Linked DNA regions of Oryctolagus cuniculus. The main gene of each other region encodes a partner of the protein of the gene in region 4 in a complex. Links are inferred from orthologs where the notes say so. Each region holds a gene or a part of one and is shown on either strand. Other genes may lie near its edges.

What was found.
Region 1: the proteins of ARRB1 (region 4) and CLTC are in contact, whole or in part, in a crystal structure (PDB 3GC3), measured with the Bos taurus proteins. The link is inferred for Oryctolagus cuniculus from reciprocal best matches to the Homo sapiens genes ARRB1 and CLTC. Residues at the interface, in NP_776668.1 of Bos taurus: His30, Ile31, Asp32, Leu33, Val34, Glu35, Pro36, Pro96, Thr98, Arg99, Tyr173, Pro175, Lys355, Thr374, Asn375, Leu376, Ile377, Glu378, Leu379, Asp380; in NP_776448.1 of Bos taurus: His12, Leu13, Gln14, Gln16, Asn17, Leu18, Gly19, Val50, Asn56, Asp57, Pro58, Ser59, Asn60, Ile62, Arg63, Arg64, Pro65, Ile66, Ser67, Ala68, Lys78, Ile80, Leu82, Lys83, Ala84, Thr87, Gln89, Phe91, Asn92, Ile93.
Region 2: the proteins of ARRB1 (region 4) and GRM3 are in contact, whole or in part, in a cryo-EM structure (PDB 9II2), measured with the Homo sapiens proteins. The link is inferred for Oryctolagus cuniculus from reciprocal best matches to the Homo sapiens genes ARRB1 and GRM3. Residues at the interface, in NP_004032.2 of Homo sapiens: Gly5, Thr6, Arg7, Val8, Phe9, Lys10, Lys11, Ala12, Ser13, Pro14, Tyr21, Arg25, Arg65, Glu66, Asp67, Leu71, Gly72, Leu73, Thr74, Phe75, Arg76, Lys77, Arg103, Leu104, Lys107, Pro133, Arg236, Phe244, Asn245, Thr246; in NP_000831.2 of Homo sapiens: Pro605, Lys608, Ala609, Ile669, Phe670, Asp671, Gly672, Val673, Lys674, Asn675, Ala677, Gln678, Arg679, Lys681, Phe682, Ser684, Cys761, Pro762, Glu763, Phe765, Val834, Val835, Thr836, His837, Gln855, Ser856, Ser857, Ala858, Ser859, Thr860.
Region 3: the proteins of ARRB1 (region 4) and AP2B1 are in contact, whole or in part, in a crystal structure (PDB 2IV8), measured with the Homo sapiens proteins. The link is inferred for Oryctolagus cuniculus from reciprocal best matches to the Homo sapiens genes ARRB1 and AP2B1. Residues at the interface, in NP_004032.2 of Homo sapiens: Asp384, Asp385, Val387, Phe388, Glu389, Phe391, Ala392, Arg393, Arg395, Leu396; in NP_001273.1 of Homo sapiens: Arg834, Gln835, Phe837, Leu838, Trp841, Lys842, Asn846, Glu849, Ile876, Ala877, Arg879, Val881, Glu882, Gln884, Tyr888, Glu902, Arg904.
Region 5: the proteins of ARRB1 (region 4) and NTSR1 are in contact, whole or in part, in a cryo-EM structure (PDB 6UP7), measured with the Homo sapiens proteins. The link is inferred for Oryctolagus cuniculus from reciprocal best matches to the Homo sapiens genes ARRB1 and NTSR1. Residues at the interface, in NP_004032.2 of Homo sapiens: Tyr63, Arg65, Asp67, Leu68, Val70, Leu71, Gly72, Leu73, Thr74, Phe75, Arg76, Lys77, Asn245, Thr246, Ala247, Gln248, Tyr249, Lys250, Lys284, Arg285, Gly286; in NP_002522.2 of Homo sapiens: Ser93, Leu94, Gln95, Ser96, Leu97, Gln98, Thr100, Val101, Arg166, Ile170, Pro173, Lys177, Phe286, Ser287, Met288, Ala289, Ile290, Ala297, Leu298, Gly301, Ser368, Asn370.

What each region holds. Positions count from the first base shown.
Region 1 is NC_091448.1:34,959,957-34,963,469, reverse strand, and holds part of CLTC (clathrin heavy chain 1), read right to left. Parts: intron 1,517-3,513; coding exon 1,353-1,516; intron 1-1,352. UniProt on the Homo sapiens protein: Clathrin is the major protein of the polyhedral coat of coated pits and vesicles. Two different adapter protein complexes link the clathrin lattice either to the plasma membrane or to the trans-Golgi network.
Region 2 is NC_091447.1:48,455,533-48,459,045, forward strand, and holds part of GRM3 (metabotropic glutamate receptor 3), read right to left. Parts: coding exon 2,783-3,513; intron 1-2,782. UniProt on the Homo sapiens protein: G-protein coupled receptor for glutamate. Ligand binding causes a conformation change that triggers signaling via guanine nucleotide-binding proteins (G proteins) and modulates the activity of down-stream effectors.
Region 3 is NC_091448.1:38,975,166-38,978,678, forward strand, and holds part of AP2B1 (AP-2 complex subunit beta), read right to left. Parts: intron 1,046-3,513; coding exon 880-1,045; intron 1-879. UniProt on the Homo sapiens protein: Component of the adaptor protein complex 2 (AP-2). Adaptor protein complexes function in protein transport via transport vesicles in different membrane traffic pathways.
Region 4 is NC_091432.1:66,411,137-66,414,649, forward strand, and holds part of ARRB1 (beta-arrestin-1), read right to left. Parts: intron 2,496-3,513; coding exon 2,472-2,495; intron 1,056-2,471; coding exon 985-1,055; intron 373-984; coding exon 321-372; intron 167-320; coding exon of another isoform or gene 145-166; exon of another isoform or gene 1-144. UniProt on the Homo sapiens protein: Functions in regulating agonist-mediated G-protein coupled receptor (GPCR) signaling by mediating both receptor desensitization and resensitization processes.
Region 5 is NC_091442.1:835,768-839,909, forward strand, and holds the start of NTSR1 (neurotensin receptor type 1), read right to left. Parts: upstream 2,801-4,142; 5' UTR 2,459-2,800; coding exon 1,754-2,458; intron 1-1,753. UniProt on the Homo sapiens protein: G-protein coupled receptor for the tridecapeptide neurotensin (NTS). Signaling is effected via G proteins that activate a phosphatidylinositol-calcium second messenger system.

The DNA.
Region 1 (3,513 bases), on a different chromosome or scaffold from region 4:
TCGAGAGTGAAGAAGCAGATGGGTTGCCTCTCTTTCTCTCAAATAAAAAAGATCATAAAGAAAACATTTTGGGGGTCAGTGCTGTGGCATAGCAGGTAAAGCCACCACCTGCAGTGCCAGCATGCCATATGGGCACCAGCTCAAGTCCTGGCTGTTCCGCTTCCAATCCAACTCCCTGCTAACATGCCTGGGAAAGCAGTGGAGGACGGCCCAACTCCGTGGGCTCCTGCACCCACGTAGGAGACCTGGAAGAAGTTCCTGGTTCCTGGCTTTGTCCTGGCCCAGCCCTGGGCCGCTGCAGCCATTTGGGGAGTGAATCAGTGGAAAGAAGATCAATATTCCTCTTTCCCTCTGCCTCTCCTTCTCTGTAACTCGTTCAAATAAATAAATAAATCTTTAAAAAAAAAAAAATTTGTTTTTTTTTTTCCAATCAATTATTCCAGAAGGCAAAAAGCAAAAACAAATTGGAACTTTACATACAGTCTCTGGAATCATGTATGTATATATACATTATATATATATATATATCACTTTATATATATATATATAGAGAGAGAGAGAGAGAGAGGGAGAAAGAGAGGGAGGGGGAGGGGGGACGGAGAGTGTGTTATCTACATATATATGGCAGGGGGAGGGTGGTGACTGGAGTGTTATATTAGTTTCCCTGGTCTTTTACAGACAGTTGCCAAGTTTAAAGCTTTATTTTCTTCACATAGTAACTGGTAAGTATGAACATAAAGCTAAAAGTTAAACATTAAACAAAATTAACTTCCCACAGGTATATTTTAGAGTTAACAATCATTAAACCATCGCTCTGCACTCACCCAACACAGGCAGTGCTTAATTCTCTGTAACAATTCATGATTCACAAAGTTGAGCTTATCTGGTTTCACCTTTACTTTATAAATTATATAGGATTAATACTTTAGCTTCTACAGTTAGGTAGATTTGATGACAGAGATAAACCCATATCCTTTAGCCAACAGACCCCTATGCCTACAAGAAAAGATCCTCAAAATGATAGAGGATCACTTAATATTCAAAAGAAAGCCTAAATGATATTCTAAAATGACAACAAAGATAAATAACTTTGGAAAGTTTCTTTGAACTGGTGCTATATTTTTCTTCTTTTAACCAGATGGTCATTTGTAAGTATTACTTACCAATTTCCTTCTCTATTTCAAAGGAAACCACAGAGTATTAAGTTTAGAAGAAATAATCCCACACACAATTTGAGCAGGCTAAAAAATCTCATGGAGAAAAAGTATATTTTAAAACTGTAACTGAACTCCTACAGAACTGCTGCTCTTCAATCCAACCAGAAAATGCATTACTCAAAAACAGTTACTTACCTTGAGAAAATTTTTGACTCGCTCAGGATCATAGCAGTTGCTTTCTCTGCAGATTCTTTCTACTTCTTTGATTTGCCCAGTCTTGCAAGCTGCCTGAATATACTTAAAGTGTACATCTGGGTCCTGGCTAAAGTTAACAATGGATCCCAGAAAATAAAAGAGACCTTAAAGAAATAAATAATTGAAATTAAATATAGGTGTATTGTTGAAAACAGAACTGAAAAATATCCAAGCAATTAAAAACAAACTGTTTCACTTAACAGTCCCAGATACTGGTATGAATCAGTTGCTGAAAGTGTTCGATAAGGGAGCTGGCATTGTGGCATAGTGGGTTGGGCCACCACCTGTGATGCTTGCATGCCAAATGGGTGCTGGTTCAAGTCTCAGCTGCACTACTGCCCATCCAGTTCCCCAATGCTTCAGTGAGGCCCAGCCATGGTTGTTGCGGCCATTTGGGGAATGAACCAGCTAATTGAAAATCTCTCTCCCTGCCACTTCTCCCTCCTTCTCTCCCCCTAAATTCCTCTAACTGCCTTTCAAACAAACAGATAAATCTTTAACCCAAAAAAACTCAGGGGACGTTGTTGGGCATAGTAACCCAAGCCTCCGCCTGTGGTGCCAGCTTCCCATATGGGCGCTGGTTCAAGTCTCAGATGCTCCTCTCCCAATCCAGCTCTCTGCTTATGGCCTGGGAAAGCAGTGGAAGATGGCTCCAGTGCAGGCCCCTGCATCTGCGTGGGAGACCTAAAAGAAGCTCCTGGAGTCAGACTGGCTCAGCTCTGGCAACTGTGGCCACTTTGGAAGTGAAATAGCAGATGGAAGACCTTTCTCTCTGTCTCTCCCTCTGTCTGTAACTCTACCTCTTAAATAAATAAAGGATATGTTAAAAAAACAACAACAACTCAGGAATAATTAATCCAGTCCAATTAAGTGATTACTCCAATAAAGTACAGAATTTAGAAATAGGGGAAGTTAATTATTACATAATATTTTATATGAGAAATTTTAAATAAAGTCCCCTATTATCAGATACTTATCCATGTACAGTTAATAGGAAATATACAAAAATAATCTGGAAAGAATTTAATCAAGTGCTTTTCAATAAAGCTTTATGGGGTCAGCACTGCGGAATAATGAGTAAAGATGCTGCCTGCAGTGCCACCATCCCGTATGGGTGCCGGTTCAAGTTCCAGTGTTCTACCTCTGATCCAGCTCTCTGCTATGGTCTGGGAAAGCAGAAGAAGATGGCCCAAGTCTTTGGGCCTCTGCACCCTCTTGGGAGACCCGGAAGAAGCTTCTGGCTCCTGGCTTCATAGAGGTCTAGCTCCTGCCATTGCAGCCATTTGGGGAATAAACCAGCAGAAGGAAGTCCTTTCTCTCTCTGCCTCTGCACAACTCTGCTTTTCAAGTTATTAAAAAAAAATTAAAGCTTTCTGCATGATAAAAATGTTCTCTGTGGTGTCCAATATGGTAGCCACTAATACATGTGGTTTTTAGGCAATTCAAACATGGCAAGAGAGAGTGAAGAAATTTTAAACTTTATTTAATGTAATTAAATTACATTTAAATAGCTCCATGTGCCTAGTGGCTATCATACTACAGTGTAAATTTAGTGTGCAGTGCACATTCAGTAACTGTGAAAATTAAGAAAGTGAATATAGAATCCTTTCTTCTGTCTAGAGGAGTACTACTACTATTATAACAACAACAACAACAAAGAAAAGAAAAGAAAAGAAAAACCAGGGATCAGAATTTAGGTGAATCTAAGGAGTCACCCAATGGTGATTCCACTAGTACTCTGCACATCAGTGGTTATCAATTAAGGTAACTTTCCTCCCAGGTGACATTTAGAAATGTCTGGAGACATTTTTGGCTGTCACAGCTGGTTTAACTGATGCTACTGGTTAGAAGCCAATGAAGCTGCTAAATATCCTACTTGCACACAACAACCTGCATGCAACTATGATTCAGCTCCCAATGTCAACAGTACAAAGACTGAGAACCCCTACTATAAAGTGAAAAGTCACAAAATGTTCTTGGGTAGAATTATTTGTCATTATAAAAGCCTATATGAAACATTATAACTGGTCATTAGTCTCCAGATCTTATAAAACTATGATAAAACTATACATACTTTTCTCTTAAAACTCCGCCTTTAATT
Region 2 (3,513 bases), on a different chromosome or scaffold from region 4:
ATCCAACGCCAGAAGAGCTCACCGCTTAGAAATAATTTTCACAAAGCACAGTTCTGAAAAATCGTACAAAATGAGTATTCAAACTGGGTTAGCTTCAAACAAGACTCCTATTGGCGAATGCTGGAACTAGCTGGTAGGAATTCACAAAACACCAGGGAAATCTTTTTAATGGACACAATTTAAATTCTCAGAAGGCCTTGCTCTTTCATCCTGTAAGGACTAGAGGTATTAGGGAATTGGCTACCGCTTTCCCTTTAGAGAATAATCTTGGAGTAAATCCATTTGATATAAGCAGCTGGCTGGAAGAGAATTTTTTCAACCCAACTAAGCTGATTGTTTAGTGTTTGCTAAGTGTAGACCCTTGTGTCTAGTCCATTGCCTGAATATTCAAGTTCGAAAAACAGAGATACTATTTCAGAAAAAATAAAACAAACCTGCTTGCAATAGCTAACTAGGAAGAAAATCCTTAATACTTTTCAGTCTTAAAGCAGTAACATGGAATGCATACTGATAATCTTTGCTCTATTTCCAAGTTAAAACAGAGACATAAATGTAGTCAGTCACATACAGGTTACTGTAAATCCAAACCAGCATCCCATAATCTATATTCTGTTCTATTCTGTGTGTGTTCCTCTTAGCCAAGTTTTAGATTCTTATAATTTGTTCTTAGTTTCATTTCTGATGTACTAGTTTGCTAATTTGCTTCTTAGTATCCTCTCATAATAATGCATTTTCTTGTCTAATCCTCATTACCAAGCATATGCACCTTGTGGCTGGTCTAAATACCCTCTCTTTTCCGTGGCTTAAACCTGCTTTTTGCCATCCTGCTCATTTCAGAAATGCAGAAGAACTGGTAATACCTGACAAATTGAGAAAGTTAAAATTGTACCCTGTAGTCGGGGCTGTGTAGACAAACTGAGCTGTGGAATTGAAGCCAGGAATTGCAAAGGACAGACACAAAGAAGAGGCTTTTGTTTATTTATCTGGATCGCAGCATTATTTCCTCACTTTTCCTTGCCTTTTAAAACTCAAGCAGTCAGACATGGGCAAAGGTTTTGGTTGTATAAACACCTCGTAGGGGCTCTCTGGAACTGTTTGGCTGTTGATGAGTGGATGTGTTTGGATATCTGCATGCTAAGGAGTGAGGAATGAATCAGAATAACAAAGTTAATTAATGCATGTGGTGAATAAAGATAAATGATAACTCCAAGGGTGGTCTGACAGGGGAGGGGAGGGTACAGGCTGAAGTGTTTTATTCATCTTGCAGAATTAATTGCACTATAGATGCTATTTATGGATGCCTGAGAGTTCATTTATTTTTAGAGTAAAGATAGCCTTTTTTAATGGACTCTAGAGTCCATTCTTATTTTCTGGAGATGTCAGCAGGGAACTGATCTGGGATTCTGAGAGGAATGCTAAGAAACTGCTCTTTTCATTTTTTTTTACATGAAGCACACCTTTAGGAATATGAGCAGAAAAAGAGTTTAATCTTTACCATTTTCAGTCATCATTCTAATGGAAAAGGTGGTACCCATCAGATAAATAGGAGGGAACATAATTGATTTCTACTACCTTTGGTCCTCTCTAGAGACAAAGAAGAAAAAAATGATAAACGAAAATGCATGCTGGTAGTTTCTGTGCTTATTTTCAGGGGGTGAGAATTCTGGAACAGGAGTCGATGGCCATGGGACCCTACCTCAGTACCACTGGTGATTCTGTGGAACAAGTGGTGCCCGTGGGATCACCTATAAGAGGAGGTGAGAACTGCCACGTAGGCTCACAAACTCTCAGGTCTTCCATGACAACTTGAAACAGACTCAGACTAGAATGAGGTCCCGGTGGCATGGAGCATGACCAGCAGTTTACACAAATGAAATAATTTTTATTGTAACATTCTCAGAATCTAAATCTTAATGTGCCCAATAGTGCTACTTACCACTTTATTTTGGAGGATTAATCCAGACTCTCCAGAACCAGGACCTTAATGAACTGATATCACATGTACCTTAGTAGACAATGCAAACCTGAAGATACTGTGTGTGTGTGTGTGTGTGTGTGTGTGTGTGTGTTAGAGATGCATTAAAATGAAGTACTGTATTTAGACAGAGTTTTAGACCACAATGAAGAGGCAGCAATAATCACTTTGAATACACCTGTGCATGTTCTCCACTGATCAAATCCGTCTCCAATTTGCTTATACTCAGGCTCACAGAAAAACATTTTCATTTTATAACATAATTGGAGAAAACCCACAGTTCTTAAAACTGCAGCGAAGTGTTTTATATAGCAGAAGACATAAGCTCCAGGGCCTGGAGGTCGCCATGGTGTAGGTTATTGTTTCCGTTTTGGCCTCTAATTAGGCTCAGAAAAAAAAAATTCTTTTTCTTTCACTCACTGTGAAAGTTATGAGATCCTTTTGCTCGAATAACCCACAAGAAAGGCCCGGAAGTTCACGCTTCTTGCAGAATGGTCAGTTCCCGCTGAAGATGATTAAATGCCCACATCATTTACATCCCACTGTGTGGCTGACAACAGGAAGAAGAGCGAATGTGGCATGCTCCCCACCTAGCAGCCACCACGGTGGAGCCATTAGCTCAGCCTGGGGGGCCCTTTCCGTGTCCTGTAGTGCAAAAGCCGTGATGGTTTGAAAACAAAACAAAACAAAAAGAGCAAGACCATCAGGGAAACCTCCTAGTGCGTCTGGGAAATTCTGCTCGACAGCCTGACCCCTGTGTCTGGGTCCACCTGTCACACCACCCACGCGCGGAAGCCCCGGCCTTACCTGTGAAGTTGATTTTCAGGAGGTAATCCTTGTACAGCTTCTTGCCGTCCAGGATCTTCATGGCGTCGCACAGCTTGGTGGTGTTGGGACACAGCGTGCGCTGCATCTTGTGCAGCGCGTGGGCCATGGCGTACACCGCGTTCACCACGAACATGATCTTGGATTCCTGCTCGTAGTTGCTGCTGTCGATGGCCAGGTGCTTGTCGCAGGTGCGCCTGTGGCTGCGCTTGCTCTGCAGGCTGCACTGGAACTTCTGCTCCCAGAAGTCCCGGAACCAGGGGTTGCGGTGGTTGTTGTAGGGCGTGAGGCTCTGGAAGTAGCGGTCGAACTGGCGCACGGGCTGCGAGGCCAGCTCCAGCGTGATGGCGCCGTCGGCCACGTGCTCGCTGCCCTTGACGATGCTCTCCTGCGCGCCCCAGCCGTCGCTGGCCACCCAGGTGAAGGAGGCGTTGGCGCGGCTGGCGGCGGCGATGAGCTCGCGCGAGTCGTCGCTGCGCATGAAGAGCACCACGACGCGCGCGCTGGGCTTCAGCAGCAGCTCGCGGACCACGCTGTCGTAGGACTTGCGGATGTTGGAGCGCCCCACCTTCTCCGCCGTGGCGATGCAGATGTTGCGCACGCGCGCCTCCTGCTCGAACGCCTCGATGCCCGTCTCGCCGTAGTCACCCTCCGAGGCCACGGTGGACACGTAGGTCCAGTTGAAGAAGCGCAGGATCTCGGCCATGGCCTTG
Region 3 (3,513 bases), on a different chromosome or scaffold from region 4:
TCTAATCCTCATTAAAGTTTCAGAACCACTGGTCTAAATTTATTACACTAGAAATCAGTATACAAATGAAAAGGGTCATCCCTTTTGGATGAAAAATCAACATGCTACAGGTGGAGAAACCCTAATCTGAAAATCAAAAATCTGAAATGCTCCAAAATCCAAAACTTTTAAAGCACAGACATGACAACACAAGTGGAAAATTCCACACCCAACTTAAAGTGATGGGTTGCAGGGCCGGCGCCGCGGCTCAATAGGCTAATCCTCCACCTAGCGGCGCCGGCACACCAGGTTCTAGTCTTGGTCGGGGCGCCAGATTCTGTCCCGGTTGCCCCTCTTCCAGGCCAGCTCTCTGGGAAGGCAGTGGAGGATGGCCCAAGTGCTTGGGCCCTGCACCCCATGGGAGACCAGGAGGAGCACCTGGCTCCTGCCTTCGGATCAGCGTGGTGTGCTGGCCGCAGCGTGCCGGCCGCGGCGGCCATTGGAGGGTGAACCAACAGCAAAAGGAAGACCTTTCTCTCTGTCTCTCTCTCTACTGTCCACTCTGCCTGTCAAAAAAAAAAGTGATGGGTTGCAGTCAAAATGCATGCATGCTAAAAACATTCTATAAAAATACCTTTAGGCTATGTGTATAAGGTATATGAGACATAAATGAATTTTCTGTTTAGACTTGGATTTCATCCCCAAGATATTTATCTCATTATGTACATGGAAATACTTCAAAGTTTGAAAAAACTCAAAATATGAAATATTTCTTGGTTCTAAGCATTTGGGGTACAGGATGCTCAACCTGAGCATATACATAAATACATACACACTCAAATCTTTACTTTTTCTGAAGTCTTCCCACAGACACAGGACACAGGATGGCTGAAAGTTTACCTGGGTGCTCTCATCATGAAAACCCTCCAGGAAGCTCTCCAGTAACTCATCTGCATTGTCAATTCTCTCAGCATATTCTCCTACAATCCAGATCATAGCCGCTCGAGCATCTGGTTCATCCAGGGAGTCTAAGTTCTCACACAGAGTGGCGATGATACTTTCATACCTGAAGCAACAAGAGACTATGGTTACTGAGGACAAAACAAAGAACACATTTCAGAGTTAAAGTTAAAAGCAAACCATGAACAAGGGATCCTAAAACAAGCCACCAAACTAGAAAAGCTTTTATAGTTAAGAAAATATATAAGTATTAAGTCAGAAGATTATAATTAGCTTTCAATTTTTTTAAAAGATTTATTTTATTATATTTGAAAGGCAGAATTACAGATAGAGAGAGAGAGAGAGAGAGAGAGAGAGATTGATTGATTGATTTTCTGCTGGTTTGCTCCCCAAATGGCTCTAACAGCCAGGGTTGGGCCAGGCTGAAACCAGGAGTGAGGAGCTTCATCCAGGTCTCCCACATGAGTGTGGGGACCCAAGCACTTGAGACATCTTCTGCTGCTTCCCCAGGCATATTAGCAGGGAGTTGGATCAGAAGTGGAGCAGCCGGTACTCAAACTGGCACCCAAATGGGATGTCAGTATAGCAGGCAGTGGCTTAACCTGTTATACCACAATGCCAGCTGTTCAATTATGCTTTAAGACTTAACTCATAAACTTTTATTAAAACTCATCAGGTATTATTTCTCAAGGGAAAATAAACCTGTGGTTGTTAAGATACTACAACTACTTGGTATTCTAGTAATCTTTCTTACAACTAGATCGAGAATTTTCCTATTATTCCATTTGACTTCATTCTAGAGAGGAAGAGAAATCTTTACTTTTAGAAAAATGGAGTTAGAAAACAACAATTTTCAGATAATTTTGTCCCTTAATCCACTTACCTCTCCTTTAAAAAATTATTTATTTGAAAGGCAGAGTTGCAGAGAGAGAGGGAGAGACAGATCTTCCAATTGGCCACAACAGCCAGATCTGGACCAGGATGAAGCCCAGGAGCTTCTTCCAGGTCTCCCACAGGGGTACAGGGGCCCAACCACTTCGGCAATCTTTTGCTACTTTTCCAAGCAGTTAGCAGGGAGCTGGATCAGAAATTGAGCAGCCAGTACATGAATTGACACCCACAGGGGATGCTAGCATTGCCTAAACCTCCTATGCCACAATGCCCCTTATCTCTCCTTTTTATAACAGGTATGGTTATGTTCTTTCTTCTCGAAGCACAAACAAAAATATTTCTCCAAAGGAAGAAATAACTCAAAAATTTATTATTATTTTTATAGACATGTTAAAACCATCTATCTGGCTAACATGATTGTAAACATCAGAATGATACATATAATAAATTAGAAGCAAACAACTGAATAGTACACTTGTCTGCCCTACTTCCACTGATTAAACCAGACTCCTGATTGCTTTCTTAGAACTGTCATGACCCCTTAATAACAAAAACAAAATGCATTTGTCTTCTTATTTCATACTATGTAACTAATACAGCATCATACTTAATTAAGAAATTGAAAAACCCAATCCTCAGGGGGCCAGTGCTGTGGCTCAGTGGACTGGGCCTCTGCCTGCAGTGCCAACATCCCACATGGGTGCCAGTTCATGTGTTGGCTGCTCCTCTTTCAATCTGGCTCTCTGCTGTGGCCTGGGAAGGCAGTGGAGGATGGCCTAGGTGCTTGGGTCCCTGTGCTGGCGTGGAAGACCTGGAGTAGGCTCCTAGCTCCTGTCTTTAGATGATCCCAGCGCCGGTTGCTACAGCCATTTGGGGATGAGCCAGCGGATGGAGGACCTTTCTCTCTGTCTTTCCCTCTGTCTATTATTCTACCTTTCAAATAAACAAAATCTTAAAAAAAAAAAAAAAAAAAATCCTTCTCTTTTCTGGGAGAATGGCAAAAATATATGGTCTCTTCTTCAAAAACACCATTTCTAAAATTTTTAGAAATATATACAATGCTTAATACACCATTACTTTGCCAAAATATTTTTACTAATTCTTTTTTTAAAAGATTTATTAATTATTTTGAAAGGCAGAGTTACAAAGAGACAGAGGCAGAGAGAGAGAAAGAGAGATAGAAAGAGATGGGTCTTCTATCCACTGGTTTACTCCCCAAATGGCCACAATGGTCAGAGCTAGGCCAATCTGAAGCCAGGAGCCAGGAGCCTCCTCTGGGTCTCCCATGCAGGTGCAGGGGCTGAAGGACTTGGGTCATCTTCTACTGCTTTCCTAGGCCATAGCAGGGAGCAGGATTGGAAGTGGAGCAGCCAGGACTCAAACCAGCACCCATATGGGATGCCAGCACTGGGGGCAGCATTCTTACGGCTATACCACAGAGCCTGCCCTTCCACTAATTCTTGAGCATACCACCAAGCCAACTTACTACATTATCTTTAAGACTAATCAGGAGCTTCAGCAAAGCTATCTCTATTACTGTAAAAGCAAAATGAGATTTCATTGTTATTTCACTGTTTCAGATTCTTCAATTGCTTGCTTTCATCATCTAACCTAGGACACTAACATCCCATATCAGAGTGCCCTGGGTTTGAGCTTCAGCTCTACTCCAGATTCCAGCTTCCT
Region 4 (3,513 bases):
GAGCCAGCCCTGTGTGAGACGAGCAGGCGCAGGCGCTGTGGACGGACGGACGGACGGACGGGTGGACGGACGTGCAAGGACAAGGAAGGAAGACAAACCCCACCAAGGCAGGAGGAAGAGGAACAGGCACGAGGGTCCTTCAAGTCACATGCAGGCAAGCGGGTTGCTGAGGAGGCGAGCAGAGGCGGCTCTCAGCTGATGGGGTTAGACCACCTGCTCCTCAGGGTTAATAAGCGTATATGCAAATGACCTCTCCGCCCCCCCCCGGCCCCGCCCTGCCCCGCAACCCCCCAGACCCCAGCAGGCAGGGTTCCGCTTACTTTGTGTCAAGTTCTATGAGATTGGTATCTACCGGCGTCTCGTTCTCTGGAACTGAACACAGGGCAGGGGGCGCCCAGGGGTTAGTGCGTGGGGAGACATGGAGGTGAGTGGGCACAGCCCTCCACCCCGGGACTGCCAGGCTCAGTAGGGGAGGGTCAGGGAAGAAGGGGAACGTGGAAAAGGGGGCCTGCCAATCATCTAAGGCCATGGAAGGGCCCTGAGTGGCCACAGGAGCAGGGCAACCTCGGGGTACTGGCTCCAGCTCACTTCAGTGCACTGCCTAGCATGCGAACCTCCCACTAACTCTGACCTCGCTGAACTTGAGCTGTGTTTCAAAATGGAGTTAATATCAATGAACAATCGGGCGCCTCCAGGAATGGTATGCTGGGGGTGGGGGGGCTCTCGTCCACGCAGCCCTTCCCCCTAGTGCGCACAGGACCCAGCCCAGGCCTTGCTCCCCCACGGAGAAGACAGTGAGGGCCAGCTGTGTCCCACTGGGGCCCACGGCAGACGGGAGTTGTGGGACCCACGGGAGATCCTGGGGAGCTGGGGAGAGGGTGCACCAGGCTGAGGCTGACCTGGAGGGAGAGGTGCGGCAGGCAGGGGAGGAGGGAGTGGGCCCCCTGAAACCCTCACGGCAAGGACCCTCCCAGTCCTGCTCACCTTCCCGATGTGGGGGCTCCTCTTTGGGCTTGGGGTGCATCAGGGTGAAGGGCAGCTCCACGGCCACGTCACTGAAACAGAGAGCCAGGCCTGCTGAGCCCAGGCCTCAGCGGGAGGGCTGCGGAGGGCTCTCTGGCCCTCACTCTGCACTCTCCAAGATGGAGATCTTTCTAGGGGAGGAATGTAGGAGACCTCCTCCCCTGTCCCTGATGGAAACAGAACTTCCCCTTCCTGGATCAGGGCCCCCGGACACGGGGGCACGACTGCCCAGGCCAGTGCACACCATGGCCACTGGGGGCCCTGCAGGTGCCCTGAGCCCCGCCCATCTCAGACGGCCACAGCCACCTCGGCCCTTCCCAACTCCTGGCTGGGAGTGTGCCCACCCCTCCCAGCACCTAAAACAGTGCCCAGCTGACCCTGGATACCTGCCACCTGCAGGAGGCACGGCTAGAGGTACATTTTACCAGTGTCGGGTCAGCTGGGACCCAGGGCCCAAGGCTGTCCACACAGGTTTGTGGTGAATGGGAGGCATCAGCCACCGGCCAGGGCTTTGGACTTGACCTTCTCTGCCGGGTCCCTGCGGGGCAGGACAGGGAGGGCAGAGATTTCCACGGCACTGACTCGGCCAAGGACTCTCCTGGGCACTTTCCATAAAGCAACTCGTTGAATCCTCACAACAACTGTATCATTGCCCCCAATGTATGGGTGGAGAAACTGAGGCACAAGGAGATGAAAGCATCCTGCCCAAGGCTACACAGCTATTCATGGGGAGTGACAGAGGATTCTGGCTCCAGGGCCACACCCTTCAGCACTGTGTGACAGCAGCGGCCTGAAGCCATCTTGGAGCAACACCCTTCACCCTGGGATCTCCATCCCGACCCTGACCCATGGGCACCTCCAGGGTCCGGCTGGGGAGTGGAGCAGTCAGGGGCGTAGGCTGAGCTGAGAGTGGATCCCGCCAGCCCCGCCACTCACTGGCACAGCACTGGGGTCCGGAAACCTCTGCTGAACTCAACCGAACAGAGCTGAATGACTTTCCTCTCACACTGGACTAAGTATTCTTGGGATGCTTGGCCAGGGATGCTTGGCCAGGGAGAAGCCAGGGCGTGCATCTTAGGAGGGTGGGTCTATCCGGCTGGCACCCAGGCCATCTCATGCACAAATGTGGCTCCCCGAAGGGCCTCTCCTTGGCTCACCAGCGGGCAAGTCGGGAAGTCACAAAGCCTGCACTTCTAAATACCCTGTAATCCAGTAGCTCGGGAATTCAGTGATTTGCTGCTGGCGAGAGCTGAGGACTAGCAGGGCGCAGCTTCCTGAGTAGATACTGTGTCTTTCTCGAGAGCATTCTGGCATCAGCACGCACCTGACCTTGGCCATCTGAAACGGCCACTAAGGGTCCTTCCAACCCAGCGCCCCATGCCCCTGCTCCATGGGGTATCTGGGCCCTGCAGGAAGGTAATCAACCAGGCCAAAGCGAGGGACATTACCTGGACGCAAGATCTCCCAGCAGGCTGGGTGGGTCAGAGGAGGCAGGAGGAGTGGTCAGGAGAGTTGAGAGAGGAAAAAACAGAAAGCACATTCATTCACCACCTCTGCTGCCCCTCAGACAGAGCAGACCCTGGGACATACACGCCCCCCTCCCCTGGGGGCGCACTGCCAAGCTCAGCAGGCCCTTTCCTTCGGAAAGCAGGTGCACACGTGAGCTCCGGGGCCGCCACGGTGGCACAGGGCGCCAAGCCGCTGCCTGCGATGCGACATCCCACACCGGAGGCACAGGTCTGAGTCCCGCCCAGCTCCGTGCTAACACGCCTGGGAGGCAGCAGGTGATGGCCCAAGTAATGTGGGAGACCGGATAGAGTTCCAGGCTCCTGGCTTCAGCCTGGCCCAGAGCTGGCTGTTGATGCCATTTGGAGAGTGAACAGGGGGTGGAAGATCTCCTCCCTCCCCCTGCAAAAAAAAAAAAAACCCACTCCAGTGCTGCCTGCCCTGCCTGTGGTTCACCAGGAGCACTGCACAGGAGACGCCATGTCTAATGGATTTAGCTTTTCTTTTCTCTTTTAAGCTTTTATTCATTTATCCGGGAGGCAGAGACACAGAGAAAACTCCCATCCGCTGGTTCGCTCCCCACTGAACTGCAACAGCGAGGGCAGCCGAAGCCAGGAGCCAGGAACCCAATCCAGGCTGCCTGTGTGAGTGGCAGGAAGCCAGCTCTCTGAGCCACACCGCCGCCTCCCAGGGTCCCCATCAGCAGGAAACCAGCGCCAGGCCTCAAACGCAGGTGCTGTGGCACGGGCATCCTCAACCCGCTGCACACCTGCCCCTACACGGCTGTTCAACCTCGCTACAGACACTCCTAAACTAAGTCAGAACAAGTTCTCTGACCCGTGAGAAATCCCGGTTCCGGTGTATAACACGTCCGTCCAGGACGTGGGGAGAGGGGAGGGCTGCTCTGAGTCCCCACTGACGAACTCTGCTCGGGGCAAGGAAGCACCTGGTCCCCGGCTGTGACCCCGACACCCAGGCCGCACC
Region 5 (4,142 bases), on a different chromosome or scaffold from region 4:
TCCTGCTTCCCACAGGGGAAGGCATGCGGCAGCCGTCGCCCGAGCCAACTGCACTCAGCCCTGGCGAGGACCCCGGGGCAGGAGCCGTCCGGGGGGACATGCCGGGCCCTCCAGCTGCTCGCCGGCTCCACCTGCACGGATCGGGGCTCACCCTGCCTGCAGTGAGGGGCCACACCCAGCGGGGGCGCCTCTCAGAACAAAAGGGAGAGGCAGGGCGGCCGGGCCGCTCAGGGCCGGAACAGCAAAGACCGCTGGCGGCTGGTGGCAGACTCGGGCGGGGACGCCCAGCCTAGCACCCCTGCTCTCCGGGAACCTCCCCGCGTGCAAATGGCCCCGCCGGCCTTGGGGCAGTGAGCTGGAGGCCCCAGGCTGCCCGGGGGCTGACAACGGCACCCAGGGCACGGGTAGGGGTAGTGGGTAGTCGAGGTCCAGCTGTGGCCTTGGGAGCACAGACACCTTGGCGTGGTTGAAGGAAAGGGTGAGGTGTGGACAGAAGACCCCGTCACTCACGTGTACACGTGGGCACATGCGTGGACAGTCCTCCAGGCCTCCAAGCCTGGCTCCTGCTCAGGCACTCAGTGACCAGGTAAACGGGGCCCATACAGGGTCAGTGAGCGTCCAAGGGCTGGGCTGGAGCCTGGGCGGCACCCGCCGAGCCCCTGAGGGCAGAGCTGGTGGCCGTGCCGGGCCAGCCCCCGCCTCAGTCGGACGTGAGCCAGACGCTCCCCCACCCGGGCCTCTGCTCTCTGCCACCTGCTGCACTCCTTCAGGCCACTGACCACCCGGGCCCTAAGCCACACAGCGCCCGGGACACCTGAGCTCTGCAGGGGCTCATGCAGGCAGCGCCCCCTGTGGGCCGGCCGAAGGAAAGACGGGACATCCCGCCGGAAGCCATGGGCACCCCACGTGTCCTCCGCCACCCAGTTCCTAGTGGCACCGGGGCCAGAGCTGGGCCTCTGAGAGGCTGCCTGCCCTCTGAACTGCCCAGCCCCACACGGGGCCACACACTGAGACCTGCCGCGCTGTACGGAGGCCAGTGAGCCCCCACCTCCAGGCTGCAAGACCCCACCCCCCCACACACATCCAGGTGCCTTACCATCGTCCCAACAGGGACATCACCGCTGCCGTCGGCAGCGACGGCAGCACCAGCAGGTGTTTCTGTGTGCCAGGCACCTGCAGACACGTCCCACGAGTTCTCGTGAGCACTACCACCTAGGGTGAATGCTGCCATCATCCCATTTTACAGATAGGAAAACTGAGGCTGGAGTAAGACCCAACCCAAGAAGATGTCAGGCTCAGCTCTGACTCAAGTCTGGGCTGGGCAGGGCAGCCAGGGGACGCGGAGGAAGCCGGCCTGGGGGTGCCGCTGCTGGGGGGGGGCTGCAGAGCCCCTGCCAGGGCACAAGGCCTTTGAGAAGCTGCTGGACGAGACCACGGCCTTATATGGCCCCAGGGACTGCTTCAGGGCCACCCGAGGCCCACCCATGAGTCCAGGGCGGACACTGACCAAGTCCAGCCACCCTCGGTAGAGCTGATGGGGTGGGGATGGGGAGCGGGGCCGAGGCCCGGCTGCTCCGCGGGGCGAGGTGGGGAGAGGGCTCGGGCTGCTCCCCAGGCGGCCCGTCCTCGCCAGCCTCCAGGGAGTGGACTTCCGCAGCCCCCTCGCGGCTGGAAGACCCCTGGGGGCAGAGTCCAGGCTTCCCCCGGAGAGACCCCCGCCTGGAGCCCCCCCCCCCCCGCACAGGCTGCTCACCTGGATGACGACCTTGACGGTGGCGGTGTCCACGATGGGGGTGCACACCAGGCTGCCGGGGTGCTGGTGGTCAGCGCCCCGGTTCTGCTGGCCCATGGTGAACAGCATGGGCACGGCCAGCAGCGCCGAGGCCAGCCAGATGGCGCTGATGAACTTCTTGGTGCGGCTGCGGGACATGAGGGTCTTGGCCTTGAAGGGGTGGCACATGGCCAGGTAGCGCTCGACGCTGAGGCTGGCCACGTTGAGGGCCGTGGCGTAGGTGCAGGCATCGCGCAGGAAGTAGTAGCCCCGGCAGCCGGCGTCGCCGAAGGCCCAGGGGTGGTGCACCCAGATGAAGTTGTACAGCTCCACGGGCATGGCCAGCAGCAGGATGAGCAGGTCGGACAGCGCCAGGCTGCCCAGGTGGTAGTGCACGGTGCTCTGCAGGCTCTGCAGCGGCTTCCGGCGCGCCAGCGTGAACGCCGTCACGGCGTTGCCCACCGTGCCCACCGCGAACAGCGCCAGGTACACGACCGTCACCAGCACCTTGGAGTAGATGTCGGTGTTCACGTCCAGGGGGCTGCCCGGCGCCGCCAGCGCGAGCTCCGACGCGTTGGCCGAGCGGTTGCCCGAGCCCGGGGCCAGGAGCGCGGCGTCCAGCCCCACCTGCGGACGCGGGAAGAGGTCGGCGCCCGCAGCGCTCGGCGCGGAGCTGTTGAGACGCATGGTGCGCGCCGGGTCCGCGGCTCTGTCCCGCGCCCCTGGGCTGGAAGTCCAGGCGGGGAGGGATGAGAAGGAGCCCTGGCGGGGGGCGCGGGAGGCCGGCTAGCGGGGTGCCGTCTGGCCAGGAAGCGCCGCCCCGAGGAACTCGGCTCACGCCCACCCGGGCTCCGGGCTGCGCCCCCGGCTCTAGACCCCACGATTCTCCACGCTCCCTCTGGGCTCTGCGCTGGTCCTGGGCTCGGGCTTCGCGGACAAGCAGGTGGCGCCGAGCAGAGCGCACGCACGGCTGCCCGGCGCGCTCGCCTCTCCCGCTCCCGCTCTCCTCCCTCGCGCCCCGCCGCGCCCGCGCCCTCTCGGCTCTGCGCGCTTCCACCGAGCCGGCGCCGCGCGGCCGCGCCTAGCAGCGTGGGCGGGGGCGAGAGGCGGCCCCAGCCGCGGTCCCCGCCCCGCCCCAGCGCAGGCTGGTGGTCGCCGCCTCCCCCACCCCGCCCCCCGCCGCGCACTCTTAGAGGCCGTCAGGGCCCTCGAGAGCGACCCCGGGAACCCAGGTCAGGCGTGGGGGCTGCAGCTGGGCCTTGGGGCGCTGAGTCTGCCCAGCGCCCTCCCCCTGGGTGCACAGCCTCCCTTCCCGGGTCTCTCCAACTTCTAGCACTGGAAAGGGAGCTGTGCCCTCCTGTCTCCAGCTCAGCGAGGGCGGAGGAAGGAGACGGCTTCCCGCTGGCGCGCATGGGGCGCTACGCAGCTGGCGGCCGCCCCTCTCCTGGTGCCCACGGTGGAGGAGGGGCAGAAGCTGAGCGCCTAGGGGGCTCCAGTGCCACTAAGCCGGGGTGGGGTGGGGGAGGGGAAGCAGAAGCAAGCAGGCGTGGGGATGGGGCACCCTCAGGGCCGGGTCCCGCGGGGTTGGCAGGGGCAGCCTGACTTGGAGGTGGTGCTGGCTCTGCCGCGGCCCTCGGGCTCCGTGTCCTGCCAGCCGCTGGCCCGAGGGGGCCGGGTGTGCGCCTGCTCCCCGGCCGTGAGCTGCGCAGAGGCACAGCCGCCCTCCCCACAGCGGACCCTGGGAGACGCCCGCTGCAGGGGTGAGGGCAGGAGGAAGCGCCCAGGGGTCACAGCCCCAGACGCTGCACCGGCTGTGCTGGGGTCAGTCTGGCTGCAGGGGAGGGGGCCAGGGGCTGACAGCCATCTTGTTGTCTTCCGCCTGCCTTGGGCTTGCCTTTCACCTGGACCCCGGCGGCCTCATCAGGGAGTCTTAGCACACAGCAACGAATGCTTGAAAACGTAGCCTTCAAAGGAAGCACAAACGGCCCTTTTGCTAAACGCCGGCGCAGACTCCAGAGGCTGGCAGAGGTGGTTTGCATCTTGGCCCTGCGGCCCTGGCCTGGGGAGTGTTTGAGCTTCTCTGTGCCCCGTCGTCAGCTGTGGGGTGGGAGAAGCCGAGAGCGGTGCTCCCCCGGCAGGGCTGCTCTCCGGGGGCCTCGGGGAGTGGGCAGCACTGAAGGGGCCGAGCTCAGCCTTGGGAGGGAGGGCGCGCCTCGAGTCCCACAAGCTGCCCCCAGGTCCCCGCCAGGGTACCCTGGACTCGCTGTCCGGGAGACACAGGAAGTGAGCAGGCCTGGGACTGGGCCCCGCGTGTCCTTGACCCGGGACGTGGTGGTGCTGAACGGAGCCCACTACCACTGCTCACTGCCCT